Linked DNA regions of Oreochromis niloticus. The protein of the gene in region 2 interacts with the protein of the main gene of each other region in a pairwise test. Links are inferred from orthologs where the notes say so. Each region holds a gene or a part of one and is shown on either strand. Other genes may lie near its edges.

The links.
Region 1: the proteins of golga2 (region 2) and spata2 interact in binary tests that used the Homo sapiens proteins (3 or more experiments, as listed by UniProt). The two-hybrid records come from large-scale screens. The link is inferred for Oreochromis niloticus from reciprocal best matches to the Homo sapiens genes GOLGA2 and SPATA2.
Region 3: the proteins of golga2 (region 2) and stk25b interact in binary tests that used the Homo sapiens proteins (3 or more experiments, as listed by UniProt). The link is inferred for Oreochromis niloticus from reciprocal best matches to the Homo sapiens genes GOLGA2 and STK25.
Region 4: the proteins of golga2 (region 2) and bysl interact in binary tests that used the Homo sapiens proteins (3 or more experiments, as listed by UniProt). The two-hybrid records come from large-scale screens. The link is inferred for Oreochromis niloticus from reciprocal best matches to the Homo sapiens genes GOLGA2 and BYSL.

What each region holds. Positions count from the first base shown.
Region 1 is NC_031984.2:16,329,010-16,336,352, forward strand, and holds the start of spata2 (spermatogenesis-associated protein 2), read right to left. Parts: upstream 3,021-7,343; 5' UTR 2,757-3,020; intron 2,629-2,756; exon of another isoform or gene 2,323-2,628; intron 1,792-2,322; 5' UTR 1,319-1,791; coding exon 968-1,318; intron 1-967. Other genes in the region: E3 ubiquitin-protein ligase RNF114, read left to right, coding at 3,319-3,455, 4,060-4,210, 4,427-4,533, 5,826-5,940, 6,065-6,172, 6,276-6,341.
Region 2 is NC_031972.2:20,385,527-20,393,221, reverse strand, and holds the start of golga2 (golgin subfamily A member 2), read right to left. Parts: upstream 3,022-7,695; 5' UTR 2,939-3,021; coding exon 2,891-2,938; intron 1,696-2,890; coding exon 1,561-1,695; intron 1-1,560. Other genes in the region: endoplasmic reticulum chaperone BiP, read left to right, coding at 6,128-6,246, 6,332-6,563, 6,666-6,803, 6,894-7,006, 7,110-7,500, 7,599-7,695. UniProt on the Homo sapiens protein: Peripheral membrane component of the cis-Golgi stack that acts as a membrane skeleton that maintains the structure of the Golgi apparatus, and as a vesicle thether that facilitates vesicle fusion to the Golgi membrane.
Region 3 is NC_031982.2:10,567,735-10,575,285, reverse strand, and holds the start of stk25b (serine/threonine-protein kinase 25), read right to left. Parts: upstream 3,017-7,551; 5' UTR 2,639-3,016; coding exon 2,609-2,638; intron 1,899-2,608; coding exon 1,668-1,898; intron 1,570-1,667; coding exon 1,513-1,569; intron 1,397-1,512; coding exon 1,288-1,396; intron 1-1,287. Other genes in the region: mitochondrial fission factor homolog A, read left to right, coding at 4,914-5,130, 5,313-5,491. UniProt on the Homo sapiens protein: Oxidant stress-activated serine/threonine kinase that may play a role in the response to environmental stress.
Region 4 is NC_031970.2:21,836,226-21,844,112, reverse strand, and holds the start of bysl (bystin), read left to right. Parts: upstream 1-4,868; 5' UTR 4,869-5,015; coding exon 5,016-5,280; intron 5,281-6,444; coding exon 6,445-6,595; intron 6,596-7,887. Other genes in the region: med20 (mediator of RNA polymerase II transcription subunit 20), read right to left, coding at 2,307-2,528, 2,627-2,880, 4,274-4,419, 4,630-4,643. UniProt on the Homo sapiens protein: Required for processing of 20S pre-rRNA precursor and biogenesis of 40S ribosomal subunits. May be required for trophinin-dependent regulation of cell adhesion during implantation of human embryos.

The DNA.
Region 1 (7,343 bases), on a different chromosome or scaffold from region 2:
ATAGAGTCAAGCGAAAAAAAAAAAAAGTGTTTTAGAAAACCAGAAGTGGGGACAACTATTTTTGGTCCTCTTTTGGGGGGTTGATAATGATGGCAGAAGGCTGTCTAACATGTACAGAAATTTCCCATAGACATTCAGTTAACTTGATATCTTGTGAGGGTGAACGCCATAAGATAATTCATAACGGTTTCGGCTCTGTGTGCAAGGACATTTCCCTCTCCTATTAGGTTAGAAATGTTTCACACCAAACAACTTCGTATTGATTTGCGGTGCTTTCCCTCTAAGAAGACAAGGAGAGCCAAAGAATGCCAGCAACATAAATCCCCAAAGCAAAACAGAGGCAGTGGAACACTGAAGTGTCAAGAGTTACAGCTTTCCTTTTAATTTCTCACTTATTCACCAAGCAGAACTGAGCAGAAGCAACCATAATAACAAGGTCCTCTTTGCACGCGTGTTCACTAAAATTACAAGTCTATACAAATTTTAATAGTTTCAGAAAAATTTTCTTACTTTTAGATATTAATTTACTAAAAAACATGTCAAGCAGTTTATGAGACAGGGGAGATCAAACTTTTGTTTGTATACCCACTTTATGGTATTAAGATTAGACAACAAGTAATTAAGTTAAAATAATCTCTTAAGATTATGCAGATATCTGATATCTGCATAAAGACTGAGAATGTGTACACAAACGTAAAAGTCTTGCTTCCACACTAAAGGTCAGGAAAGATATTCATATATATTGCCTGCAAAAGACAGTCTGAAAGATATGCAAATTCACAAAAGTATTTCGGTGTACACACACACTGCCCTGATCAATTGCCAAAGCTCAGTATCTCAAAGCTCAGGACTGGACAATAATGATTAATTCTGATATAACAAATGTATTAATAGTGAAATTTTGGCTATTAGAGTAAACTAATCTAAGCAAAATATATTAAATATCCCATCAATGAAATAAACTCACCTTTATACATCTGAATTCCTTCTTCCAAGGGAAGAGCAGGAGGTTGGTGCAGATGGTTTCCAGGGTATGGAAGGCTCTCTCGAGGCCCTTCAGGTTGACTCCTCTCTGGGAGCGGAGGGAGTTCTCCACTACCTCATAGAAACGCACCATGCGAAATCGCTGTGCCGGATCTGGCTGATAGGCTCCTAGCAGAGCTGTGGCTGTGGAAAGTAGGGCCTCACTGTCCTTGTGTCTGCTTCTTTCCCCTTCTTGCGTACTTCCAGTCCCCCTGTTATCCCCTCCTTCCTCCAGGCGCTTCTCCAGTGCTGTCACATACCTCCGGAACAGGTCCTCTTTTAACTTGGCATCCATTATTAGCAGCAGACTATTAGTCAGCTGTTATAATTTTCTGAGAGAGCCTCACACCTTTTAGCATGCCCAACCACAAAATGCCACATTCAGACACCATTTTTGGTTACCATTCTTTAAACCGTATACACTAAATGTTAATGTCGTGGAGAGATGACAGAGGAGTCAATCTTTGCATCCACTCAGTAGCACATCCTCTAAGCAAGAGATGCAGTTTTCTAGTGCTTTCAGTTGGTGTAGCAAGGCTGTAGCCCATAAGGATGCCTTGGTATGAGCATCTCTGGCTTTGGCTCAAAGCCTGACTTGTTTCCAGAAAAACAGGCCTCTGTCATGCAAGATAACGTCAGGGGGGAGGTTTTCCTTGGCACACAGACTTGCATCTATTCCATTGCTTGGTTTTAGCATTGGTAGAGTTCAAGGTCACTCATCAAGAAGACAGATTCATGATCTTGGGGTTGTTATCAGCCATGTCCAAGCTGAAATGACACAAGCAATAGCTGTTAAGATAAAAAATATCATTTTCGGTTTCTAGCTAAATGAAAATGCAATTTAACTGTGGTTAAGCATGTTTTGAAATATCTAGAGGTTCAGATAAGAGGGAAGATACACTAATCCAGGACCATCTCTGTACTCAGAGATGTGAAGATGGATTCGTTTGGGTGGGTGGGTTTTTTGTCTATCACATAGTGAAAGGGCTTTTTTTTTTAAAAAATTGTTTGTTTTACAATGTACATAACCAAGAAAAAGGCCAGTGGAATTATAGCTTAAATAAGCAAGAGAGGAACTCATTACTGATGTATACATCCCTCTCACACGTTTGCGCCAGTGAACGTTTCAGCTATTGGTACTACATGCGTGTAAACCAGAGTGGCGCTAACCTAGCCTAGCTTAGCTTCAACTCAAAACTCATAAACACATCGTGAAAATAGTACGAGGCTTGAACAACAGGAGAGCAAACATTTCGCTCTCAGATTCTTGCAAGCTGGCTGGCTGGCTATACCTGTTACCTGAAAATCTCTGCGAACATCCGCTCAACGAGCTAGCAACCAATGAGCCTTAGCCAGACGCATGCTTTACAACTGCGTATCTACTACAACAAATTTAGTCCACCGTGACCAATGGCAATATAAAGTAATACTCCTAGAACGTATACATTAATTCTTCATGACTCTCAAACCCGATGCTGCCACTGCTATGGCCTCCCTACTGAGTAGAAGCTAAACAGTGAACGCCCATTTCAGCGTAGCTGGCTAGCTAACAATTGCTTTTGGTTAGCAGGGCGTTCCATCGCTACACAGACATTATTCGCCAGTTTAAAATAAAATAACAAGACACAGCGAATTTTTAAGGTGATGTTCTTTTGGGATCAAATGTTAATGGGCTCCCACTAGGAGATCAAGACGTTTGTTCAAACAAAAATAACAGCATTCGCAAATCTTACCTTTAACAAGTGCTAGTCATGGCTAGCTACGCCTCCTCAGCTGTTGGAAATTCCCAGTATAACAACACGCATGCGCTCAATCCTGACAGTTCATCAGCATCAGGAGCCCACGTGCTAGGGAAGACGGGATACAGACCCCCAAATACATCATCCCCAGTCTTCATTCATTTTTGTTTTTGTTTTGCATGGGTAAAAAAATATATATATACATATAGGCTCGCGTGCGCGCAGAGACAGATTTCCCGGGTTCATAATGATTTGCCGAAGGTATACATTTAGTGGTGTGGATTTCCTGCTTTTTCGTTGTATTAGTGCCCGAATAATTCAGATTTATTTGAATAACTATATATTGTAATATTTTGAATGTCTCTGGGGGGTTTCGATATCTAGTGGGAGGGGGGGGTGTCACAGATTTAGTAAGTATGTCGTACAATTATGTGTTACGATGTTTACTTTCGCCGGTGACCCCGCCCCCTCGCGCTTAAAAAAGAACAAGAACCCGATGACGTCGTCACGGGGACGGTTGGTGCTGGTGGTGGAACCGACTCAGTGAAGAAAAGAAATGGCGATGCTCGGAGGCTTTAGCGCAGCACCTCACAAGAAGAACGCCTCGGACGGGAGCAACGACGTGTCCGAATTCGTCTGTCCAGTTTGCCTCGAAATATTCGACAGTCCCGTGACAACACAGTGTGGACATACGTGAGTATTTTTGCCGTTTATTTTCCATCGCCCTCCCCCTAACCCTCGTCTGCCACCAACGATGCAGTGAAAAGAGGCAAAAACAATGGAGGAAAGGGCTTCACTTTAAATATGTCGTCGCACCAGAGTTGCAAAATATCGGCCTCGCGAGTGTCTTCTAGTGCTACGACCCCGTTTTTTCTATTTTTCTCTCTCGAATATGTGACAAAAACAGTTCCAGCTTGCTAAATCAGTTTCAGTTTTGTTTACATCAAAAAGGAGGCCTCACTTGGGAGTTGTAGTTTGGATGTGTATTGCTCTAACTCTTCAAACCACTTTAAAGAACTACAAGTCCCTGGCTATTCTCGAGGTGGGGGACTTTCCATATGAGTTACAGGAAGGTCCAGTCACTAGCATAATAAAGGTTTGTTTTAGTGACAGCATTTGGGGTTTTTTTCTCATTGCAGGCCATGCGTTAATGTAAACAGAGTTGCTGCATGTTTTTGTCTTGTTTTTTAATAATTTTTTTTTTAAAGCCTCAGGTTACCAGAGCCCAAATTAAAAGTGACAATTTAGTTGATTTATCTTGTGCAGCAGTCACATTATTTCACCCATCTCTTGACAGGTTTTGCCACAGTTGTTTGCAGGAATGTCTGCGTCCACAGAAACCTGTGTGTGCTGTATGTCGAGGCGCTCCAGGCCACTGGACTAGAGCTGCTCAACTCGAGGCACTCATTCAATCTTCTGTGGCAGCCTGTAAGGGATGTGGCACACAGGTATGTTTCACTAAAGTCCAAAAGCTAAAATATTGCTGAACTGACTCACATTTATGAAGCAGTCACAGAGGGTGAATATTCAATAACTGCACATGCATAATCTTAATATTTTGCTGTGTCTAAATTTCTGTCTTTATATTTAGATAATAGCAACAATTTTATGATGATGGTCATATACTGGAAGTTACTGATATGTGTCACTCCTCCCCCAATTAGGTTGGGCTTTCTAAGATGAGAAGCCACACAGCTGCCTGTTCAAAATACCAGGAGTACATTGAGGAGGGAGTCAGGACAACTGCCCAGAGCCAGCCTGCCATCGTCAGGTGGGGAAAGAAGCAGAACAATTATTTGCTATTCCCTACATAAGAAAAGCAAAATGGTTTACACTGTAGAGTCAGACTTTGCGTGCAATCACTGCTGCTTGTTGGGTTGTATAAATTAAAGGTCACCTTTGGACTAACACCAATCCAAAGTGAAAAAGGAAATGAGTGCAGCCCTGTCAGTAGAGTCAGTGAGAGGGCTTCATTCACAGAGCAGAGAGTACTGTACATAGGAAATGGAGTTCTGTTGGCCCAATCAAATGTATGCAATGATAGATTTATGATAGATTTCACTGTAACTTAAGTGCCAAATTTAAACAGTTGACCTGTTGTGACAAATGATGGAATAATATCTTCTTGTGATATAAAATTCCCTGTTTATAGTATTATAAACTCTTGGCAGTACATTGTTGTTTGATAAGACTCCAAAGTCGTGGCTCCATTACTGCCTTGTTTCACTGACATGCCTAACATGTCAGTCAAAAATGAAATGCTCTGTTTTTGCGGTCAATCTGTCATGTGAACTATATGTAGTGTATACATTTTACACTTAAAGTTAAAAAAAGTAAATGGAAGTTTTAGCACAAATAGGATTTCAAATTAAACACAATCTGATTGCAAGTAAAATAGTATTATAAAGTGTGATCAAGCTTATGCTAAGTATTCTGTATTTTACCTGTTGTAATTTCCAATCATGATTTTTCCAGAGTGTATAGAAAACAGTACAACTTTTATCTTTAGAAAACATAAAACACTGTTATTGTCAAGTTGTATGAAGTGGATCTGGTTTTTATCATATTTGGATGTTAAGTATTTATGACAGCTGTACTTCCTGGAGAAAGTTCCGAGAAGATGGTTTGAGAAGCCGTCGCTTGTAATGAGGTTATTATGACTAATCAGGAAGTAGTCTTTAGTGGGGGGTTTTTGTTTTGTTTTTTTCCACCCAAACAGCAGCCTTTAAAACAAAGAATCCACACATTGTGGCATGTTGGGCCAACACTGTTTAAAGTAAGAAACCGATCCTGGTATTTATTTATTTTGTTATTTAACCCTCCAGATGTTTGTGCCAGGAAACGGATTCCTGTTATAAAAAAGAAAAAAGAATAACTGTCACTTTTAAGCCTTTCTCAAGCTCTTTCAGCTGGTGAAAAGTTGATGTGACAAAAGATAAAGATTGGCCACTAACTGTGGTAAATTATTTCTTCATAAGCTGATGCCTGTTGCACTTCAAGTGCAATATTCATGTAGTTGAGAACCAAACCTTGTGACATTTTATTGTTTCTCTTCTGCCACAGTTCAGTGCCAAATCGCTACACCTTCACCTGCCCCTACTGTAACTGCCAGAACCTCGACCAGGACGGCCTGGTTGAACATTGCACTTCCCAACATGCTCGAGATGCACGCCAAGTGGTAAAAAAAAAAAGTCTACTCTGTCATAATTCTGAGTCATACTGAGTTTCCACACACTTACTGGCTTCAGCTGGGTTAATAATGTGTTTCAAAGATCGTTTTATTACCTTCATGTTTTCTTTAGGTGTGCCCCATCTGTGCCTCGATGCCTTGGGGGGATCCTAATTACAGGAGTGCTGACTTTTTCCAGCACCTGAAGATCAGACACACTTTCTCCTATGATACATTTGTTGTAAGTAAAGCACTCTCTGTTTATTTGTTTGTTTGTTTTTTATGTTAATAAGAATTTAAGTGACTTTTTTTTTCTTCCACTTCTCATGCTTACGACCTCCCAGGATTATTCCACAGATGAGCACACAATGATTCAGGAGGCTTTACAGCGCTCCCTTATGGACCACTGAAGTGTGAAAAACAATTCACCGGTGGAGGGAATCCAGTGAAATGAAGGGATGATGGTCTTGAAAAGACAGAAACACACAGTGTCATCATTCATCTAGAATGGGGATGGTGGTACTGACTTACTATGGGTAATTATTTTTCATAGGGAACTGGTATCGTAACTATGAATATATAGGTTTATTATTCTGAAAATAAATCACGCAATATGGTTACAAAAAAAAAAACATATTGTACTGTTTGATTTAGGAGTAATACTGTGTTTCTGGTGTGATAATCACTTATCTTCCCCTCCCCCCAGCTGAGTCTGTAGACTGGATAGTTTGTTAGGTATCTGCTAAACTATGTTTAAGCTGTTTGTTTATCAATGACAAAGTGTCATCTAGCAACAAAACATCCGAACCTGTGATTTAAAAATTCTGCATTGTCAATACTTGATGTTATGAGAGGGTCTAACCACTAGGTGGCTACCTATTGCCAGCAGACAACAAACTTCACTCTGTGAAGTCTACAAGTAACAGAAACATATTATACTAATTCTACTCGCATGTTTATGCAAAAGGTTAAAAGGTAAAGGGACTTTTATTTCTTTTCTTTTTTTTTTTTTTTTCTTTTTTGACCACAGTTTTTCAGCAGATGGGGGAAAAAAACTGTCTTTTCAGTGCTGTTTTTGATTGAAGCGCGTGTGTTTGTGTATTAGAGTGTGGCTGGGTGTGTTCATTCTGTTTTGACAGATCTACTGGTAAGAATAAACAATGAGGGTCAAACACAGCCAGAGATGGCATTTTTGCTTTTTTGTGATGTTTCTCCCTTATGTCTTTGTGCCTGCTGGTAGATCTTGTTTTCAAACTTCCAGAACTCATAGGGCTAATACAGTAGTTCATTCAGTGAATCTACAGATGCAAGTATTTTAAAAAAAAAAAAAAAAAAAAAAGTCAGTGTGTTTGGGTTAATTTGGTCACTTTCATGTGAGAATTTATTTGCATGTGTCTAAACCACAAGAGGGC
Region 2 (7,695 bases):
ATTAGTAATCAAAATGACATTAAATACCAAAAATGTTTTCTTAAAAAATCCAAAACTTGTTAGACTGTCAAGAGAGCTCAAAGAATGTGATTGTGTTACTTGCTGCACACAATTTGTCCCAGTACTTTTTTTAAAATCACCAGAACAAATATTAAAGCAATGGTCTTGTTAGCACATTTATTATGTTTTCTACTCAAACAAGTACAAATGTGGTGAAAAACAAGTGAGTAATGAAAATCAGAAACAAATCACAGAGAAATAGGAAATTTGAATACCCAGCTGCCACCTCAGCTCAACTTCGAATATACAGAAGAAATTAATGGACTGATGGATGAACATCTGACTAATGAGTCACTGCTTTGAAGATCAGGAATTAATTACTATTAATCAGCTATAAAGAGTGCTACTAAAGTGCAGGATAAACTTAAAGCAGTAGCATAGAGTAGAGAACTAGCTGATATTCACAGAGGGATTCTTGGGAGAGGAGACTTGAAAGCCTATCATTTTTTAATCAATGTAATTTTATGATTATTCCTATTAAACGTTCTATAACAAAAAGCTGATGAACCTGAGTGCTGAAACAATCAGATGACATAACGTGTTCATTATAGTGTTTCTGCGGCAGCAACTGACAGGGGTAGAGGAAAGTGAGTTTTTGATATGCACATAAGTTGCTACACCAGTGCTTTTTTGGATAAATTATTAAACATCAGCATATATATTGTGGTATTGAAGGTACTGGAAATAGTAAGTGTTTTGAGACAAATGACAGACTATATTCAGCTGTCTATCTAGTCAAACTGGCTGCGACTCCAGCAGCTTGGACTGCAGCTGGTGATAGTAGTCAGCCAGTTCATCATGCACAGACTGCTCCAGGTTCTAGTTGGAATGCTGCTCATTTGTGCAACAGAACAAGGACTGCTATATATCCACAACCTAAGACACTGAATGACATCAAGGAATCATCACAACAGTCTTAGTCAACATGGAAATATAATACAGGACGGCATTCTTTCAAAATGAAGGAGACAATGCTGACGCTGTAGTGGGCTAAGTGGACAATCCTATGTATATTCAAGTCAACCGAACTACATTATATTACTATTATAAACTCATCTGGACTGTTATTTATACCATCTCATGAAATTATATATTAGTTCTTGAAATTCTTACCTTATGCTACATATTGCAATATGTAAAAGCCACAGTTGTGGTCAGGGGCTTAAAAAACACTGTCTCATGTGCAACGCCCTTCTTAGGTAAACATGTCTGTCATCAGCGCCCCAAAGAGGTGTAAATACTTCTACTCTGCTGTAGATAATAATTGGCAAAAAAAAAAAGAAAAAAAGTATTCTATCTATCTATCTCATATATATATATATATATATATATATATGTATACACACACACACACATATATGTTCTTCAGCCAAACACACAAATACAACACCCTTCAACTTGAGAGAACAAATCATGAAATGACCATCTACCAAGCACAAAAAGAGGATGTCATTTGACGACAACAACAACAACAACAATAAGGCAAACTGTTATGCTTACATTGTCTGGAGAGTTTCTGTCTGGTGAAGGTGCATCAAGTTGGCTGGATCCCTTCACCTTTCTCTTCTTCTTGGCTGCTCCTCCTTTTTCTCCTCCTACACTAGCAGGGGAGCTCTTCTGTTGAAATTCCTTCAGCTGAGTAGGAAATGAGAGAAGAAACCCATAAACGTGTGCACATGAACAATGTCTACTAATATATATTTATTTGTCACGTCTTACACATATAGTACCAGGACTCTGCAACTGTCCCAAACTATAGATATTATTTCAAACAAATTACACTCAACATCTCGAGCGTCTTAACAAGCTGAATGAATGAGGTAATAAAATTCGAATTCAGTGCTCCAATTCCAAAACAATGCACCAGCTAGCAGAAAGATCCGGCTTCAAACGGATGAAGTTAGTAAGTTGTGCTAAACAATGATAACCTGCGTATGATATGCATATGACGGTTAAAGCATACCAGAACGCTCTAACAGCTGTCTAAGGGGAACTGCTGGGGCTTTTTTTTTTTTTAACAGTAAAGCTAAATAGCAGCAAAATGACATGTCACCACGACCACTCAGTCGTGAAGCTTGTGGGCCAGCAAAAAATGCTGGCGAGTCACTTCTTGAATCTGATAAGGCCATCTTTCTGACTAGCCGAAAAAGACACCAAGCCAAAGCACACAGCAGGACAGGGAAGAGGGGTGTCAGCTGTCAAAACACCCCCCGTCAGTCCATCCAGCTAACTGTGCTACAGGGGTAGCTTACAAGCTCAATGAGTGCTGTGTTTTAAAACTACCGTTTGTTAGACATTTTCTTATGAAATTAAATTCTGCAGATAACACAAAAAGCTGGCAGGCTGCTGTGCGACATTCCTTAGACACACACGTAGCCATATATTCATCAGCTAGTTAGCTAGCTTGCTAACGTTAACTTGCCTGGGTTAGCACGTTAGGCTTTAACTACATTTAAATGTCAGCTGGAAAGTCAAGTAAAGCGGCCAAGCAAGTGGTGCAAGTTAATCTGCGAGTACATAAACAGCGTGGGATAGTATGCGTGTCTCTACTAACTAAAAATAGTCTACATAATCTGGGAAAGTTAATGCTATCAGCAGAGGCCCCGATGAAACATCGGTCTCTCCTACGCAACAGAGCCGCGAGAGGAGCGGAGGAGGTCGGACAAGCGACAGTGCAGAACTCGGGCGACGTGTAATGACAACACCCTTGCCCCGTAAAAAATATACATAACGAAAAGACAAGAAAACAGAGTTAACACAGACTTGTGTACATAAAGTGGGAACTACACTTTTCGCGCTATGTAACTGCGTTACTTGTAAAATACTTTACCTTTTTCTTAGCTGCAGCGAGTTTTATTTGCCTACTCTGGTCGGCCATCCTGCTGCTCTGGTGGTCAACTGAGCGAACCACGTCATCAGCTTGGCGCTCATACGCGTCTAAGCCAGTAGGTGGCGCAGAGCTCAAGCTGTGCCCTCGACATAGCATAAAACATCTTTATACCGTCTATGGCCGTGAGCTTACAACCTCACATAAATTAGCCTGAACCATGTTTTCTTTCTTTTGTTATATGAAATATATAAAGTATTATTTTCGACAGAGTTTAGGAAAAAATGTATTAACACCTTTGCTATGTGGTTGTCGGCTGCTTTCATTGTCTGTAGTTGTTGCTACTTTACCTTTGTGTTTCTCTATAATTAAGATAAATATAGCCTATTATTTTGTAGGTTACATTTATTACACAGAAATGTACCGTACAGTACTGTCTTATTTTATGTTTTAAAAAATGACTTTTTTCACTTTCTTTTTGTAATATGTAAATTTACCACAGGTGTAATGAAGTGTAGTACTGTGGAAAAAATCTTGATCCTCCCTTACACAAAAGAAAATAAGGTATATAAGGGAAATTCTAACAATTCTGTACAAACAAGCTTGGAAGTCTCTTTGGAATGACCACCTTTATTCTTTCACACAGTCAGAACGCTCTGAGGCAGATTTCTTGTCATTCCTCTTCAAGTCATACTCTTCCTTCCTCTTCTTGTCATACTCTTCAAGAATAATTCTCCAGGCTCCTTAAGGGACATTCAAACATTTTATAAAAAAATATGAGAAAAAAAAAACTCTACAAAATGTCAATCTATTAATTCATATTAATAGAAAGCATATCAGAAAGGGGTTTCCATACAACAAACACAAGGCGAAACCAATGCTAGTAGTCCTTACATTGTAATAACCTGTATGAAGGCCTTACTGATCACTTCCTCCTTGATTTAGCAACATGGCTCCTCCTAGTGTTAACTATGATATCCAACTCTTTTTACTAGATTTAAAAGTCCAAGTAAAAAGTTCAATTGTATACAAAGAAAATGACACATTAAACCCAGAATTTTCCATCAGGTTTGTTTCACTGCCCTGTGTGGTTTTAGTCTTAATGAGTCATCATTGTCTTTCAAGTTTACAGGTTAGTTTTGCTTTTGTTTGTAACACAAAGAAAGCAGATATAAATGACACAAATAGTAAACTGCCTGACAGTAACATTAGAAGGACCTTATAAACAATATAAACGCATCTTTTAGATTTTCTTGAATAAAATATAAGGAATTCTACTAACAGGAACTGGAGGCTTCTCCGTAACAATATGCTTTTCAATTCATCAGCATTAGCTTTAAAATGAGGGTATCCTTTGAATAGAATAATAAAATTTTCTGTAGAAATCCCTGCAAAGTCTGAAAAGGGCTTCAAAATAAAATAATAATAAAATACTTTGCATTACTTTAAGACAATAAAGAAAAAGATGAAACACTGAAATCTGATGTTCACTTGTTATTCTCCCATAAAACGTAATCAGAATTGGAGGCCACTAAGTAAGAGGTTTCCAAATCTAGACATAGAAATGTTTATGGTTTTTATGGGAAACTATGTAAATAAATAAATAAAAGAAATAGACAAAACTTAACTGCTACACTGATATTTTATAATTTTATGACTTTTCTATATTCTTCCTGACAGTACAACCGGTTTAGTTCAGGAACCTTCTGGAAATATATCAGTGTTAATAGAAGAATTCAGATAAATCACAGTAGGAGAAAGCAGATCAGTTCAATTCTATCCATGTAATGATTTTGGATTTTAGAAAATTCTTGCAATTAGTTAGTGTTTTTAAAATACCCATATCATAGCCTTGTACTTTGGCTGGTATATATTGGCACATTTGCCAAGGATCATATCTTGACAATGGCAGTCAGCTACCTTGACTTTTTAAGCAAATATTTGTCTTGTTGATTGAACTGAAACCCAACTGAATGTGCCAGTTTATGTTACCTTCTTATGTGTGCAAAAGATTTCAACCAAACTGAAATCAGTGTGATCACATGTATCTGTAGTCTTTAGCTAAGACTTGTACATTCACTGAGGAAACACCCAGACAACCCAGTTCACCTGGTACAAGATTTCCTGTCAGATTCATCACAATCACACAAAGGATTTGGATTTTCATACTCATAGCAGTTAGTCATTACGTCTCACAATTGCATCACTATCTCCTCGTAATGACACGCCTTAAAACCGCAAAATTAAGATTACAAATCAAACACTTGGTGGGCCATTGCAAAAAAAAATTATTGCAGCAAAAATCTGTAAATGTATGAAATGCGAGAAATGCATCCACCTCTCCCCCGGCATTGAGAGTGGCATGTCGCTGCACCAACTGTGTTCAGGATTGCCCTTGACAGACAGCCAATCAGCGTCGGCGCAGTGGACACATACGGTGACGTCTCTTCAACCTGATGTGTGCAAATCAGCGGCGGCCAGCGTGCTGAATGAAACCAATCAGCGTGTTCCAACGAGCAACAGCTCAGCCAATCGCGAGCCTCCACGACGGGAAAGAAGTGACGGCTTATATATGGAGAGACCACATTTCGTACAGCATCATTCTACACAAGTAAGGATTTGAAAGAGACAAAAGATATACAGGTTGCTCCAAGCGTCTTTTACCGGTAGAGGAAACTCAAAGGCCGTTAATTCATTGGTTGAACTTCTGTTAAGGTATGTATAAACGTTAATATGAATATGATAATGAAGCATCGCGGTATTTTCCATTTTCTGCAAAATGTTTTATTAAGGTAAAACCGGTTAAGGTCAATATTGACCAATAAACCAGCTGAAATGTAACTACACTACTGTCGTCTGAATGAACTGTACAGACTCTGTAACCTAAATATAATAAACAGGATGTAGTTTGGAATGTTCTAGCATGGTGGTTTCCCCCTGCATGTCTGCTAGGCATGGTAGCGTAGTTAGCAAGATACCGGCGAATTGGCGGGGGGGTGGTGGTGGTCATGACGGTGATTGACTGGTGATCCAACTTATTTTATCGATAATTCATATTTTCCTGTTATATTTATTCGCCAAGACCAACTTTTAGTCTGCCATGGGTCTGCAAGCTCAGCAAGTGACATTACGCAGTACCGTTAGTTTCTGGCTAGCGCACTTGGGAGGCTGAACCCATCTAATGTGTTACATTGTATTTCTTTTCTGCAGATCCGCTTGTAGATATAAGTACAAACAAAGATGAAGCTGTTCTGGGTTGTGATGCTGGTGGTCGGCACAGTGTTTGCCGCCGACGATGAAGACAAGAAGGACAACGTGGGGACTGTGGTTGGGATTGATCTGGGGACCACATACTCATGGTAATCACGTCAAGCTCTTATAGTGACATGATACCACCATGGAATAAAATGGCATTCAGACTAAATTCAAACTGTTTTCTTGCAGTGTTGGAGTGTTCAAGAATGGACGCGTGGAGATTATTGCCAATGACCAGGGAAACCGAATCACCCCCTCCTATGTGGCCTTCACCAGTGAAGGTGAGCGTCTGATTGGTGATGCTGCCAAGAATCAGCTGACCTCTAACCCTGAGAACACCATCTTTGATGCCAAGAGGCTCATTGGTCGCACTTGGGGTGATCCTTCTGTGCAGCAGGACATCAAGTACCTGCCCTTCAAGGTGAGCTTCTAAACTGAAAGTAAAACTTGTAGTAGTTGATTCTTTGGGTCATGTTTGAGTGAAATTCTTGTTAAATTAATATTGGTGTGTATTCCTATGAAGGTTACTGAGAAGAAGAGCAAGCCCCATATCCAGGTTGACATTGGTGGTGGCCAGATGAAGACCTTTGCTCCTGAGGAGGTCTCTGCTATGGTGCTAACTAAGATGAAGGAGACTGCTGAGGCTTACCTGGGCAAGAAGGTACAAAAAGTCAGAGATTGTAAATCAGTGAAAAAGCTAATCTTAATTAAATGGTGTATCATCAAATCTAACTTTATCCTTTTTCCTCAGGTCACACATGCTGTGGTCACTGTCCCCGCCTACTTTAATGATGCCCAGCGCCAGGCCACTAAGGATGCTGGTACCATTGCTGGTCTGAATGTTATGCGAATCATCAATGAGCCGTAAGCATCCAGTCAAAATGAATTTGATCATCTGCAATTTGAAACTGTCAAAAAAATATCTCTGCCCTCCCTTCTAACAATAAACTCTCATTGTATTCTTTAGAACTGCTGCTGCTATTGCTTATGGCCTGGACAAGAAGGACGGAGAGAAGAACATTCTTGTGTTCGATCTGGGCGGTGGCACCTTTGATGTCTCTCTTCTGACCATTGACAACGGTGTGTTCGAAGTGGTGGCCACCAACGGTGACACTCATCTGGGAGGTGAGGACTTTGACCAGCGTGTCATGGAGCACTTCATCAAGCTGTACAAGAAGAAGACTGGCAAAGATGTGCGCAAAGACAACCGTGCTGTGCAGAAGCTGCGTCGTGAGGTCGAGAAGGCCAAGAGGGCGCTGTCTGCCCAGCACCAAGCCCGCATTGAGATCGAGTCTTTCTTTGAGGGAGAGGACTTCTCTGAGACCCTGACTCGTGCCAAGTTTGAGGAACTGAACATGGTAAGATATTAATTTGGTTCTGAAAATATTGCGTATTAAACCCAATTGGAGAAATGGTTGACCAAGGTTTTTTAACCTGTGTGTTCTTCAAAACCCAGGACCTGTTCCGTTCCACCATGAAGCCTGTACAGAAGGTGCTGGAAGATTCTGACTTGAAGAAGTCTGACATTGATGAGATTGTCCTGGTTGGAGGCT
Region 3 (7,551 bases), on a different chromosome or scaffold from region 2:
AGTTAAAATACAACCTAAAGTATCTGGGTCTGCTTTTTGTATCTGTTACAGCAGTCTGGTTAATATAACGTGCTAAAAATAAGATGAGGCCAGAACATCTGAGATAATGAGTAACAATGTTGTTACAGCTTATTCAGGCCAACTCTCAATTTTGAAATCTAAAATGAATTAATAATTAATTTTAGATTTTGGAGACTGGAGTGCTGCATTCAATTTCACAAGGAACTGTAGATAAAAGGAGAAAATCAGCACAAGAACACAAATAATACGGAGAATAAATCCACCCCACCAAGTAATACACCCAAGTTTTAAACTCCTTATTTGTGCGATTACTTAATTACAAAGTGTTACATTCTTTCATAACAAGGAAAGAAGAGAGCAGAAAAAGCTCCACACACAGGAATATGTAAAAGTGTATACAATTCGCACACGCAGCATGTTGTGAGATTTCGAGCTCACAGATGGTGTTAAAAATGTACACAGCTTGTTGGCATATTTCAGTGTGTGCACTTCTTCTCTGCAGCATCTGGTTAAGGCTGGCTGTGCAGCAGCTCTCTTATCACAGCGTTCAGTTGTTGACATAAAACGTTGGATCACAGCATTGAGTCTTGTACTCACAAGAGCGTACGCTATAAACCAGCTTTGAATTATACCCGAGTTTGTACCAGCGTAGAGCTTGACAACTGTGTTAGCTGACAGCTATGAGACTCTTTGGGTTTGTTCACACCTATAGTTTGTTTTCTCTGGTATAGTTGGTGAGTTTGTAAACTTGGAGTTCTTCCCTATGATTTGGTATCTTTTCACAAAGAGAAAAAAAAACAAAACACATCAGGATGTTCAGTCCGCTCACTGGACAGATGTGTAAATATAGAAAGAAGGTGCTGTGTTCTAGACTATTGGAGAATACGTAAAATTTACTTTCATTTCACGGATAGCTGCTAGCCCATACAGACCTTTGCACAACTCTAGTACTTTGCTGCATCCCTGACTACACAGCATACGTACCTACAGGAAGTTTTTTTTTAAAATCTCAAACTTGTAACCTGGTAGTTTGTTTGGGTCGACTACCAGGAACATATTCACATCATAAATAAACTATTCTTGAGTTCATTTAGAACTGCACCAAGACAACCTCTTCCAAAGGGTCTATGTGCGGCTGTTTTGGTCTGTGCCCGAGTGCAATAACTCGGTTCACATCTGCACAAACAAACTTCACCAAGGGATAAAATGAACCAGTTTGATTTAAAAGGACCGAACACCGTAAAGATTGAAGTGAGTGCTCATTACCTTTGATATCTCTGTGAATCTTCCTTTCAGAGTGCAGATACTCCAGCCCCTTTAGTATTTCCCTCAGTATAGTAGCAATGTAAGTTTCTTCAAGAGGCCCTGGACGCAGCTAGGATGGTGACAGTGCGACAAAAGGATGAGTTTTCCTTCTCGAGTATGAAAAGTGCACTATTGGAGGAGTTGTCTAAAACTTTGTAAGCTGCATAAAAATAGAAATCTACTTACTAGATCCAGAGCAGATCCTCCACCTAAATACTCCATGATAATCCACAGCTTTGTTCCCTATGGCAGGAGGAAACAATTGAAGGAACAAACCACTGCATGTGTTTGCATCTTTAATCATCTCTGCAAGTGTCACTTCAGTATTTACATTATCTCACCTTCAGATATGAGCCATAATACTTTGTAACGTAAGGACTGTCGCACTGGCTCAGCACCGTGATCTCCTGCTGAATGTCTTCTATCTCATCCTCTGCCTCCTCCAGGTCTATAATTTTAATGGCCACCACCTCCTTTGTGCGGTTGTTGATGCCTTTGTAGACCTCTCCAAACGAACCCTTGCCGATCCGCTCCTGCTTGGTGAAGTACTCCTCAGGGTCCAACCGAGTATTCTGGCCCAGTGAGAGCAAAAGGATTTAAGTACAGAGTATATACCACGGTGATAGCCCCCCGTAGTTTAATGTGTGTGTTTATGAGTGGGCGAGTCTCAACACAGAAGAGATGTTCACAGTTGTCCCTTATCTCCATATTATAGTGTTTGCATGCACTGCCCAAATATAAAATATGATTTATAATTAACCTTCTTATCTATGCCAGTGCCCATCTATTCAGTCACATCCCTTTATAATTACCTAGACTCTAGATCGAGCTTTGTGCCAGGATGTAATTTAAGAAGTGTGACTCCTGAAAGTTCAGTGGTTTTGTCTTTCCATAACAGCAGGAAATGAGCAATGATTTGCGAACAAAGACGCCTTCAAAGAAGTCACTAAGTTTAAAAAATATTGAGTATCTTAGTAATTAAGACTCAACTCTAAAAGCCCAACTCTGAAAAAATAAAATGTTATTACACACTCATACAAGATCAGAGATTATTATTACATATTTGTCATTTGTTGATGGCTTTGTCAGTTGTACACCTGACTGCGCCACCGGCAAGAACATTATATATACATAAATTCACATCTGTGGATACTAACACTTGCTTTTATGGCCTAGCCCACCACCCAGGTTATTCATGGAAAGCCTGAGAAGCATCGGGGGTTCGGCTTGTCTTGGATAAGAAGCAGGGAGGTGACAGTTGGAGAAAAGATCATTTCTCTACCTGGTTCTGCATGTCTCGAAGGTGTGCCATCCCCTCGGCTGGTTGGACGGGAGAGGGACGGCCACAGTCCTGTCTTCCAATAGTCAATAAATTGTCCTTTCGGGTTTTTCCTCCCCTCGTAGCTGTCTAGGAAGCTAGCTAGGCTGGCTAGCCAACTAGATAAACACCCAGTCTCCTGGCTTTAACGGGGCTGTCACTCCGCGCACTGTTTTCGGCCTCCGGGTAAAACGGAGGACTGAGCAGCCGAGCTACTGACCGAGAGACTCCATGAGTATCGGTGGTCCGAAACAGAGGGGAAAAATAGCTCTTTCCGTGAATTAATAATTAATTCATTTCAAGAAGCGCTTAGCCCGTTGTTCAATTGAAGCTTGAGGAGGACAAAATAATGGCCCAGATCGAGAACGCATGCGCGAAGTTTTTTTTTTAATTCGTTGAATTGTGGGAGTTGTATTTCTACATGCTTTAGAGACATGTTTCTTCAAACCTTTCAAGTTTTTCCTGTACTGAAAATGGTACACGGAAAAAATAAAATAAAATAAAACTACATTCACAATTTTAAATGACAAAAACACGTGATCTCGTTGAAAACAGTTCTAACAGATCTAACTATATATACATCACTACCATCACATAATACCATACATGCTGCCAGACAGCATTAGAACACCACTGAGGATTCATTACATACAAAAATAGAAAATGAACAAGTTCAATTCAATTTAAAGCTGAAATAAGTTTAAATTACATTTTGTGGAAATGATTGTGTGTGTTTTCTCCGTATGATTGATAGAAGAGGAACTGGGAATTCAAATTAAGGCAAATCAAATTAAGCAGATGCAGACAACTGGTGGTTGGATTTACCCAAAGTGTTATGTGGGAGTAAATCTTAGTGTTTGTCTCTGTGATGAAGCTATAATAGTATAAATTTGAGCACAGTGGATAGTGTGGACAAAGAGGATGTCAACACACATATTAACAAGACATTCAAACATCTTTTGAGTGTTTACATTTTATTTTGCTTTTATTTATTAATCAAAACTTTGTGCACAAGCTGTCATACATAGACATTATACCTAAAGACGTCATCCACAAACTGCTGATATCTACAATACAAAAGGTCCAGCTTCATTAAAATGCAATTTTCCTTTCCATCAGACTTTAAACCTGCACACGAAGTAAACCATCTAGCTACCAAAACACCCCAGCAACGACTGGCCGGTTGGTGCATTTTAACCCAGACACTGAAGCAATGTCCCGCATCTTAATCGGCCCTAGTGTGCCCCACACAAACAGATTTTTTTACCCCCCCACACTTTGTTGGGATGTGGTCAGCCTTCTTTTTTCCCGTGACGTTGGCTACTTTCATTTGAAAAACATCTTATTTTTGCAGTTCAGACAAATTAACTTCTGTCACTATAAAAATAAAATACACTACAACCAACTTACGTAAATAAAGCTCGTTAATCTGCTAATTTAAAGTGTCCATTGCGTTTCACCAACTCTTGCGGCTGGCGGTGCACTTCATAGTAACCGCCCCGGCGGTCACGCGGGGTAGTATTAACAGCTACACCCACACTAGCTAGAAGCGTAGAGAGCTTTCGCTGAGTCCGTCTCGGTGGGTGGTTTGTGGAGTCCCTGATGTTGTTTGTATGACAGCACGAACAGCGTGTTGGCGCATGTCAGTTTAAACCCTGGTGGTAAAACCATAACGGTGAGTATTGACAGGACAGACCTCTGGTTTACCAGCATGTTAGTGCAGACAGTCAGCGGCTTACAGCGCACTGTTTAATTAGCTAAAAGGGATAGCATCGTCTGTTAAACGATTGTCAAGCATAGCGACAAGCTAGATAGCTAACATACAAGCTAGACATGGCGTCTTGCGTGGATTTTCACTCAGTGACATTGAAGCGGCTTGCCAGCAACAGCTTCACCTCATGTCGCTGTTATGTAACATGAAATGCTATTTCTTGTACTGTACTCATTAGCTTGAACCTAAACTCACTACCTTACACTGGAGCAGATGCCTTTTGCACGGGCTAATGATCGTGTTTAAAGTTTAGGTAGCACCATTTGCTACTGAGCTAATTGGCTAAATTCAGGGTTAACTGCAGCATGTGTTTTACTGTAAATTGGCATGTCATAAAAAATCAGCCAAGATATGAAAAATGTCTTATTTAAAACGGGGCATTAAGTTGAGCTTATATTTCTGAACTCTTAGAGACAGTCACACTCACACCCTCACTTTGTTTGGTTAATATCTGTATGTGAGTTTCATTTGTTTCCCATTTTGTGGGTTATCAGCTGGATGAGTGGGGCAACTTTCACTACCCCCTCTGTAGAGGTGGCTGAGATGAATCGCATCCATTTTGAGCTGGAGTATACAGAGGGCATCAGCCAGCGCATGCGAATCCCAGAGACCCTCAAAGTGGCCCCAGAGAGCCAAACAGGGTCCATGCCACTTCAGCAGCCCTTGCCCACTCATACAGCTCTGATGCAGGTTCCTGAGAGGATCGTCGTTGCAGGTGAGGATGACAGTTGGCAGTCATGTTTCAGGTATTATGTTTAAATCATGTATATCAAGTATTTGGTGAGGAAAAAAAAAGTAGTACATTAAGGGAAACAACTGTTAACAGCTGAAAGTGGAAACCATGACATATGGGCCCATATGCTGTATAAAAATTTCATGACCCCTTTTTTTCTGTAGGTGATGACGAGGATCCTCGATTTGCATGTCCAAGAGACTTGGATCTGATTCAGTCCATCCCTCCTGCGGACCTCCTGAACATGAAGGCCCCTCCACGTGTCCTCACCCTTACCGAGCAGCCTCTGGACTCTCTTGAAACCGACCAAACTGTCAACTCACAGCGCAATCCCAGCCAAGCGGTATGGTTTCTTTCAGAGTAATTTCAACTTCCTTCTCAGAATATTGAATTTTCTTCTTTCATTATATTCAAAACTTTAAGTGGATCCATAGTGTGGTGGTATACTACATTTGCCTTATCCTGAAATTATGGTTCAGCAGTGTTAGTGCATTGGGAGTATGCTGGCACTCCGTTGGCCTGTCTACTTGCAGAGAGTGTCTGTTGTCGATAGAGGCACTGTACAAAGTATGTGGTACAACCGGTCTGTGGGGTACTTTTGCTTGTGCTGTTACTGGTATGTCAGCCAGCTGCAGAGTAGAGTGAAGTTATAATCTACAAAGAGCTGAAGTGAGTGTTAAACAATGTAACATATTCACTGCACCCACTGTCTGTACTTCTCATGAGCTATCTTTTGATCTGTGATTTTTTTTTTTTTTTTTTTTTTTTTCCCCTCTTACTATCCTCCCATTCCTGGTGAACTCCATTGCCACTCCCTTGCCTGTTCTGGCCCACTTGTCAGTCAATCAGCATTTGAGTAATGCAGTGGGGATTTTGGAAGATTGCACACATGTTTGTACATTGTTTCTAGGGTAGGGATGTTCCTGGCAACTAATTTCTCAGTTGAATAAACAAGGGAAAAAAATTAGACTAACTGACTCATATAAAACTAAGAAACACTCAGATATCAAGTTATATTTTAGAACTGTTTAAGGTCTATAACTCTCTAAACAAAAGAATTTTAAATCATAAATCATATTCTTGATTTATGAATAACGGTGCTGAATTGTACGGGCATTGTGCATTGTCAACATTGCATGTTACACACCAGACAATGAAGAAGGAAAAACACTTAAACTGATGTTAAATATAGTATATAAATGTGTTACTACAAAAGCAAGTTCACATATTATTAAATGTGACAAGTTAACAACAGAAAAACCAAGGAGTTGAACTGAAAAATGTGGTGCATTTTGTCGAGCATTATGAATGATGCACGCTGTTCAAAAATTCATGACAACCACTTCAGTAAAAGTTAAAATCTAAAATAACAAAACAACAAATAATCCAGCCATTTTCTTTTCCCCCGCTTATCTGAAGTAGGGTTGCGAGGCCAGCAGCCGAAGCAGGGAAGCCTAAACCTCCCTCTCTCCTCCAGTTTATCCAGGGAAACGTCCAGTTGTTCTCAGGTCAGGTGATTAAATATAGTCTGTACAGCAGGTCCTGGTTCTGCCCAGTGGCCTCCTCCCAGTAGGACATGACCAACAGAGCACCTTACCCAGGAGGCATCATCCTCAGCTGGATCCTTTTGATGTGAAGGAGCAGTGGCTCTACTCTGAGCCCCTCCCAAATGACTGAACTCCTCACTCTATTGCTAAGGAAGTGCCCACTGACCTTTTGGAGAGGGCACATTTCCACCGCTTGTATCTTTTGCCTTTAAAAGAACAGTAACAGTGTAAACAAAGAGATCAGGCCATGATGAACAGATTTACGGCTTTTCTCAACAATGATGCTCCCTCTGGTGGCAGGTGGCTGCATAGCAATTTACCGGCATTTGGCTTCAATCAAAATTTAAAACAATTTAGATTATACTACTAGTACGTCTGATAATGATTTGTGATAATAGTGAGGATTAGTTGTTTAGTCAAAGAGTCCCGCAAATCCCAACTTTAGAGAAATGCTAAATGCAAAAAGGACACGATTGCAGTACCATAAATTACCCCGTTTGAACCTGTGAGTAGACAACAGAGTCTCAAGGGTTTAGGCACCAGGATAAATCAGATACGCAGACCTACCTGCTGTGGCAACTCCTTATGAATAAGTGAGCAGCAACTAGTATACACAGCATTATTTTTACTTTATTAGGATTACCATTTCAGATATTCCTTGATGGTGGTCTTAAAGGTGTTGCTTTTTTTATCCCAACATATTGATCCTTTCTTACAAAAGCTGCCTGGAGTTGTGGGATTTATGAGACGCAATGAAAACTGAACATGATTATTTATGTTTTTAATTTTAAGAAGTCTCTTTGTGCAATGCTGCACATCTTCCCATTCTGATCTCTCTGTGGAGTATGGTTTGTGG
Region 4 (7,887 bases), on a different chromosome or scaffold from region 2:
CCGCCTCAACTCCTGCATGTGATATTCACAAATGTTAGAATTTCTCCACTGTGTCTGTCCGTGTTTTAAAAAGGATGCCTTCTGGCTCAGACAGGCTGGCTCTTAACGCCATGCTAGGCTATCCCACCATCACCATGCTGAAGCCAGAACAAAGAGCAGCCAGAGAGCGACTCTCCAGGAACATCCAACAACTTTGTTGGTCCGAGACAGCCCAGCAGGCAGCAACTTAGCTGCCGCCGCTAACCGTTTTTATCCACGGCTGCTGTGCGTAGGGTTTGCACCGCTTGCCCCCCCACCTCCTCCCTCCCTTCCCTCTGCTGTGTCTCGCCTAATAACGCGCTGAGTTAAACACGGATTTATTCGCTTGGCTCCAAGCAGCTAACAATTTGCGTTATCTGCTCGCCACAGTTGCTAACGTTAGCTAAGCTGCTAACCTGTTTGTTGAGGACAATCGAAGTTAACCTAACGGCTGCCGTCGGTCGCTAACGTTAACGCTAGCAAACTGCGCCGTTAACCGTTAAAAAAAAAAAAAAACTACCCGGTGACATTCACCGCAGGAAGCCGGCTCCTGAAACGCGGCTCTCGGCCCTATCCGTGCCCCTCACTATATTTGCAACACCTGATAATGGTAAAGCTGGGTAACGTTACCATCGCCAGCATCCATCCATCCGGTGTACACTCAGAGAGCTGCTTGTTGTCCTCCTCACAGATTGAACAACCCAACTCTCGATCCGAGCACAGACCCCGCCGCTCTCATTGGACTGGGGCTGAGCGGGAGACGGGCTCTCATTGGCGGAAGGGCTGAACAACAGGCAGCAGGATGGACCGTCCGTCCGTCCACCCACAGCGGCCACATGGAACAATAACGGAGGCCAGAGTGGAAGCCGGGTTTAAGAGGACAGCCGCTACCCCTGATCCCCGGTGTCCCCGTTAAACCCCGTGCGCGCCATGTGTCAGCTCGGTAGGGTTAATCTGGTAAAATACACCTGAGGCGCGCGCGTGTAGTGTGCGTGTGTGTAGCTTTAAGCGCCCTATGAGACGCATCTCCTTTGGATGCTGTCGTGGGGAGGGACTACTTTCAAAATGCGTCAGCGCAAATCAGTGTAATTCAAGTTTAAACATAAAAAGAAAGCCGCTGCCTGGAAGAAATGTGCAGCATTCAGGGAGAGTTTGAAAGCTGAATAACATATCACAAGTCCTAAAAGAGAAGTCATGTCAGTTTTATCAGCTTTAATTACAGTTGTGGTTACGCTGGATATCCAGGATTTTTTCACATGAGATTAGGAGACGCATGGATAAAAATAACCATATTAACAATAGTAATTATCGTGATTTAGTAGGACACTTGAATTATATATTTTTTTTTAAATACAATTACCAATTACTGGTAATTTAATAGGACATTGTTCTGCATTTTTTACTTTTTTTTCCTGCTCTAACATAAGAGTCCACTCGATGCCAAGCATAAGTGAGATCTTCAGATTATTGTAGATAATGTAGTATGTAGTATCTATAAACAGAATTAAATTCTCAGGTTTTAGAAGCTAGATCCAGTCTTTTGGACATTTTAAACAATCCAACATAAACAATCTAACTTACTGTCACCCTAAGATACCTGCACAGATACTTCTTTGTAATCTAATAAAGCATTTCCACTGTAAAATCATTACACGTGTAAGGACAAGCCTCACTTGTTAGCCTCCACCTAATACTGGAACACTAATCCAACTGCATAAACCTTGGGATTGGACTGACTGTGAAATTCCTGGGCCTGTAGTCAACGTTTAGTTCATTCATTCCTGTCTTTCTGACAGAGAAAAACAAAGAAAACTTGATTGTTTGAAAAGAAAAATCTCTCACCTCCTTGTGACATCATCTTTAAACGTTAAGCCAGCGCAAAACTTAGATGATGCAACAGATAAAAATCGACCTCTCTCACCGATAAACGTCATCAGATCAGTTGACAGTCAACAGGGCCAGCGTTCAGCTGATAAATTGGTTCATCCCTGTGTAAACTAGCAAGAAATCAATGAATACTTCGTGTCTCTACTCTCAGATAAAAGTGCACCATCAAAAGGGCATCGCAGTATGAACGCTCAGAGACTCTGACTACTTGTTTTCACTGTGTCTCTTTATTGCAAATGCTTTCATCCAACGCTAACGTGAAGTTCTGCAATGATAATAAAACCCCAGACGTTCAAAAAAATAAAAAATGCCTGGGTACTAACGCTGATCCATAGGACCAGGAATATACCAACATCTGTACAAACATGGAGAGAAAAAAAACAGATATCTTTGTTGCAAACTCAGCGCACATTGCTTCCAGGGATTTGCAGCTTGCGCAGTTTGTTGAACAACTCCAGGTACTGAGTCATGGTGTCAACACAGTCTGCTGGTGCAAAGAGTCCCTCGGGCTTGGCAGCAAACACAGATGGCAGTTCAGGGACGCTGGGGCCGAGAAAGGACTGCATAAACTCCTTCATGAGGTTCCAGCAGTCCCCAGGAACGACACAAGGGCAGTACTCCACCTGAGGAAGCAAGCCAGGAGTTAGCGCCTCACGGAGAGAAAGCAGAAGGACGTGACTCGTCTTTATCACAGCATATATATATATATACACACACGCACCTCTACTGATATCCCTCTGGCACTGGAGCTCATCGTCACGGTACCAACTTTTATCAAGAAGTCGCAGTAGCGATACCTCGAACCACGAGACTCCACCTTGTGTCCCTTGGCATTCTGGAAGTGACTTTTCAGCTTCACCATGAGGACATCAAAATTTGCATCCGCTATTAGGCAGGGTCCACCTTCAAACAGAGCCAAGCAGCTCAGGGGGGTTTCGGAGTTGTGCATCACATACAGGAGCTTGGAGGGCTGACCTACAACGGACAGACAACACTTAAAACTGTCAGGTGAGATGAGGAAGGAAATGAAAGTTCCACAAAGTTAGAGAGGCAAGGCTGAGATTTGCACCTGAGGTTTTGACGTGTACAGTGAGGGATAGTAGATATATTGGGCAAAGGATGTTAAAGACAGAGGAGCTGCCAGGCAGGAGGAAAAGAGGAAGACCTCAGAAGAGATTTATGCATGTAGTGATGGAGGACATGTAGATGGTTGGTGTGACAGAAGAAGCTGCAAGGGTGAGATAGAGGCAGATGATCTGTGGTGACATCTAAAGGAAACAGCTAAAAGAGGAAGGAAAAAGACTTCTGGCCATATAGATATATAACTATTACTTATACTGATGATAATTGTTATTCTCCCACAGATAAATTCAAAAACTGTGGCGGAAAAGTAGCCAAAGACGCACAGGAGGAATCAGCGGTACTGAAGAGGACAGTAACCGTATGTCGATGGAACTCGTAGTAACATTTCTAAGGAGGTGCACATCAGAAGCATAAATTCCCAATAAAAGTGACTGCCTTACTGTTTTGGCCTAACTACAGCCAATCAAACTGGAAATTGAACCAGTACACCAGTACTTATATAGCTCGTTTTAATGTAGCTGAGTACTCAAAGCACTTCCTACTACAAGTCTCACACTCACATTCATACAGTGTTTTTGTCTATGCCTAAGTGTTTTCTAACACACAAACACACACACCCACAGATGGATGCATCAGGGGCAACTTAGGGTTCGGCATCTTGCCCATGGATACTTCAGGATGCAGACTGGAGGAGATGGGGATCTATGACGCTCTCTACCAGCTGAGCCACAGCTCGCGTGACAAAAAAAGTGACATTTCTGGGGGGGGGTTATATGTTATATGTTATCCTGCCTTTATTGTGCCTATATTATAGTCAATCTAGTCCTTACTATCTATCTAGTGCTTATCTAGTCCTTTATAGAATTTTGATGTTATATTTGTCACAATTTCTCTTGCCCTCTTTGCCAGATCTCTCTAGACTTTTTTTTTTTTATGTCAGTGACACTTTTAGCTGGATAAATAAGGGAAATATGAAAATCACTTTGCAAAAAAACAAGTTCTGCTTTGTGATAGAAATGTTCTTTCTGACTCAAAATGACTCAGTATCGTTCATGAGAGATCTGTTTGAGAGATTATAGGCCAATAAGTCATTTAAAACAGTTCAAATACCGGCAATCTTTTTTTCTTTGCAAACAATCACACGAAAAGGGGATAAAATACTCTGCAGCCCCACCTAGACAGGGACATCAGGTCAACCTGATGGGTGAGTGCAATACGTCTGCATTAATGTGATCTATAAATCTGAATTCTAAAGCTCAGAAACAAACAGATAAAAAAATATTACTGCTGGAATTTCCCGTGGCATGGTAAGTCTCGCAGTCCACGCAGAAGCTGCCTTGCTTCACGGCGCCCAGCTGCTCCAGCTTTTTGTGCAGCATGTCCACAGTCTGCTGCACGCTCTTCCCCTCCGCCACGGGCACCTGGCACACACTGAGGGGCACAGCAAGCAGAGGACTTGAGGGACCAGCATACACTTTGTTCCGTGTAACGTTACCAGCATTGCTGAATGAGACAGAGCCACGCCTCCGCGGATCAATGAGAAAAAAACACGCAGGGTGGTTGAGGCTGGGCCAAATCTGTTTGAATATTTAGTGGTTAAAAAACGTTTAAAATCAAACGTAGGTTTAAAAACCACCTTACCAAGTAACACCCATTGATGTTTTGCCTCTCTTCACTTGTAGTACGGTGTTTGAGCACTTCCGGGTTAAACAAAACGCCTTCCGGTACAGTAAAAGAAAACAACAGAAAAAATAAAAATAAAATAAAATATTATTTATAATAAAGAATGGTGAATATTAACACCATTTCACAATGAAACAGTCAACTGACTTTGCTGTACTTTTTTTCTGAAGTGGTCGCCGAAAGCTGGATGTTACGTGAGTGCGATGCGTCACTTCCTTCTTGCCGGACCTGCGCACGTGTTGAAGCAGTGACTGTTTACAGTGTTTGGTAAAGTCTGTCCTGTAGCTCGCACATGTCCACGGAAACATCCACACTGTGGTCACAGCTGAAGTAAAACCGCAGCGATGCCGAAAGTCAAACGGTCCAAAGGTGGAGGAGAGAAGAGCGGAGCCGCGCCGGTGGCGCTGGCCGACCAGATCCTGCAGGCGGACATTGTCCGAGCTAAAGGCCGGGTTAAGATCAGAGACACCCGGGAAGAAAGCGACGACAAGTACGTGGACGAGCGGTTGTCACGGAAAATCTTACAACAAGCCCGCATTCAACAAGAGGAACTTCAGACCGAATATGGGCTGGCACCAGAGAAGAAGAAAGCACCAGTCACTGTTCTCGGTAATGTTGGATTGGTGTTGTAGTTATCCTTAAATTGGCAGATATTTGAATGGAGTCTGGCGAGTGAAGTGCTAACACCATGGGGAGATCAAAAGTCAGTTGGCTTTGACACACATCGCATTTGTTCAATGTTTTCTGACTAGATTAGGTAGCTGTAATCAACGTAGTTTGATGTTTTCTACTTACGCTTTTGGTCATCAAAAGGAGACAAATCAATTAAAAAGTTTTCTTCTTTTGTTTATATACCTATATTTGTCCTTAACTTTCATAATCAACAACATTCCACAGCACAGATCTTTTCATGAGAAAAAACTAATACTAGCTCTGACTTGCAGCCTTGTTACTATACATATAAAATACACTCTCACAAGCACACTTTAAAACATAAAATATCATTAAATAGCATTTCTCTGGTCCTGGATATTTATTTGTAGCAGGTATGTCATAATCTATAAATAAAAGTAATATATCCATTCAGCCCTTATATCATGTGCAACCCTGTTACACTACTAATTTTTTTTTAGCCCTGATCATATCATTTTTAATAAAATTGTCATAAATGTTTTTATTAGCTCACAAGGGTTTGATCTGTTAATCTGCTGCCTTTGTAACTGCTTTAATTATTACATGAATAGTGTTATTTGAGCACAGATATAAATATGAATACTGAAATTACCAAAAAAAAGTACATATTGAAAATTTGGTAGGTTTTGAAAGTTGCTTAAATGAATAAAAATTGAGTGTTATCTGTTATCAAGTGTGAAAGATGCTCAAGAATTTATTAAACAATATTTTTTAATCTACTTTTTCGGGTTCTGAAGTATTGGCTGCAGAGATGCGTACAGAAACTAAAATATCATAAAAAGTTTATCTTTAATCCCTGATCTGGACATATTTAATATTTATTTTTTTCTTAAACACATATTATATTATAAAATAATAAGATATTTTTAAAGCCTGAATTGTCCTCCTATTGTTAAATGACCCAGGAGTTTTTCACACAAATACATAGTAGTGCAACACATGTTGAATCCATGTTACAGTGTAAAATCTTTCCTTGTGATTGTCTTTATCAAGAAACCTTACTTAACTAAAATATTTATACCTAAAACATTTCAGTGTGATCTTCTAATGAGCCATCTCCGTCTTGTAATCTTATTTTAGGGCCTGACTCTCAGGATGCTGACTCGGATGAAGAATGGCCGGCGCTGGGAGCAGCAGATCCTGCAGATGTTGAGTACGACACAGAAATCGTTGTTGACGCTGAAGATGAGAAGGCCATCGAGATGTTCATGAACAAAAACCCACCAGTGAGGTGAGCTACACCGTCGCTTTAACTTCAGGCGCTGCGAGCTCAGCAAATCCTTGGCTTTGTGTTTGTATTAATGCTGTGCAATAGTGGAAAGTTTGGTATCGGGTAGGGGTGGGCGGTATAAACGGTATACGGTAGAAACGATATGAATTTGGCCAACGGTAGAGATTTTGACTATACCGCTCTGCAGCGATAGCGCATGTTGATGGTTTCATCAAGCTGCGCCTGTTTTGGTCGAAAGCATCGCAGCGGCTGCAAGCAATGTCATCTGCAAATTGGGCGACAGTAATAGCGAAGAAATGAAGCACGTTTTGGAATATGAGGAAAGGCAAAAACTGCCCTTCCTCCACTTCCGTACCATTGATTCATTAATGTTGAATTCTCTCGCAGTTGCTCTATACCCATGTTGTTGCAGTATACTAATAACTAACCTCGTATTGTGGATGGATTATCTCAGTTGTTGTCCTGACTGAAGTTTGGTCCATTTACAGCATCCTGCCATGCATTTGTCCCTAACCGTCAGACCCTCACGTTAACTTTTATCGAGTGGAAAAAAGTTGGCGTTCATCCTCCAGCTTCACTGTTTATGTTATGCTAACATAGCTGTGTTGCTAGCGATCATGTAGCACATCATTATGCTTCAGTAACCCTACAAAAGTCACTGCTGTTTAGTTTTCTGTCTTCGCTTATGTTGGAAGTGATAGCAGAGCTGTACGTTTGAATTTTTTCAGAAACCTCTCTGTCAGAACATGCTATATCATGTTTAGGTGGAAACTAGCGAGCTTCCTTCCTTCCTAACTCCTAACTCTGCTCGGTTTTCATGGATGCCTGGATGTTAAACTTAATTGTTACACCTGGTAAAGAAGCAACGCTGATCATTTTATTAAAGATGAAAGAATTTAGACAGTTTTTAATGCTCAGTGATGTCGCAGCGTTCATTTGGCTTTGGGACCTGAAGCAGACGGAGTTTTGGACCCAGATTACTCCGCCAGGCTCCTGACTGCGGCAGCTGTAATGCTCCGAAAATCCATCAAGCGGTGCGGCTTCGTAGCTTACCAAAATCGTACTAAAACATTTTTGACAGATTTTTGAGCGCCGTGTTCCACATAAAATAGGTTTGAGGTCAGTAAGCACAACCAGAATTCATACATAAGACACACCGGATTATAAGGCGCACTGTCGATTTTTGAGAAAATTAAAGGATTTTAAGTTCGCCTTTATAGTGCGAAAATACGGAAGAAAAGAATATATCGCGATATATATTGTTATATATGGATTTTAGGCCATATCGCCCT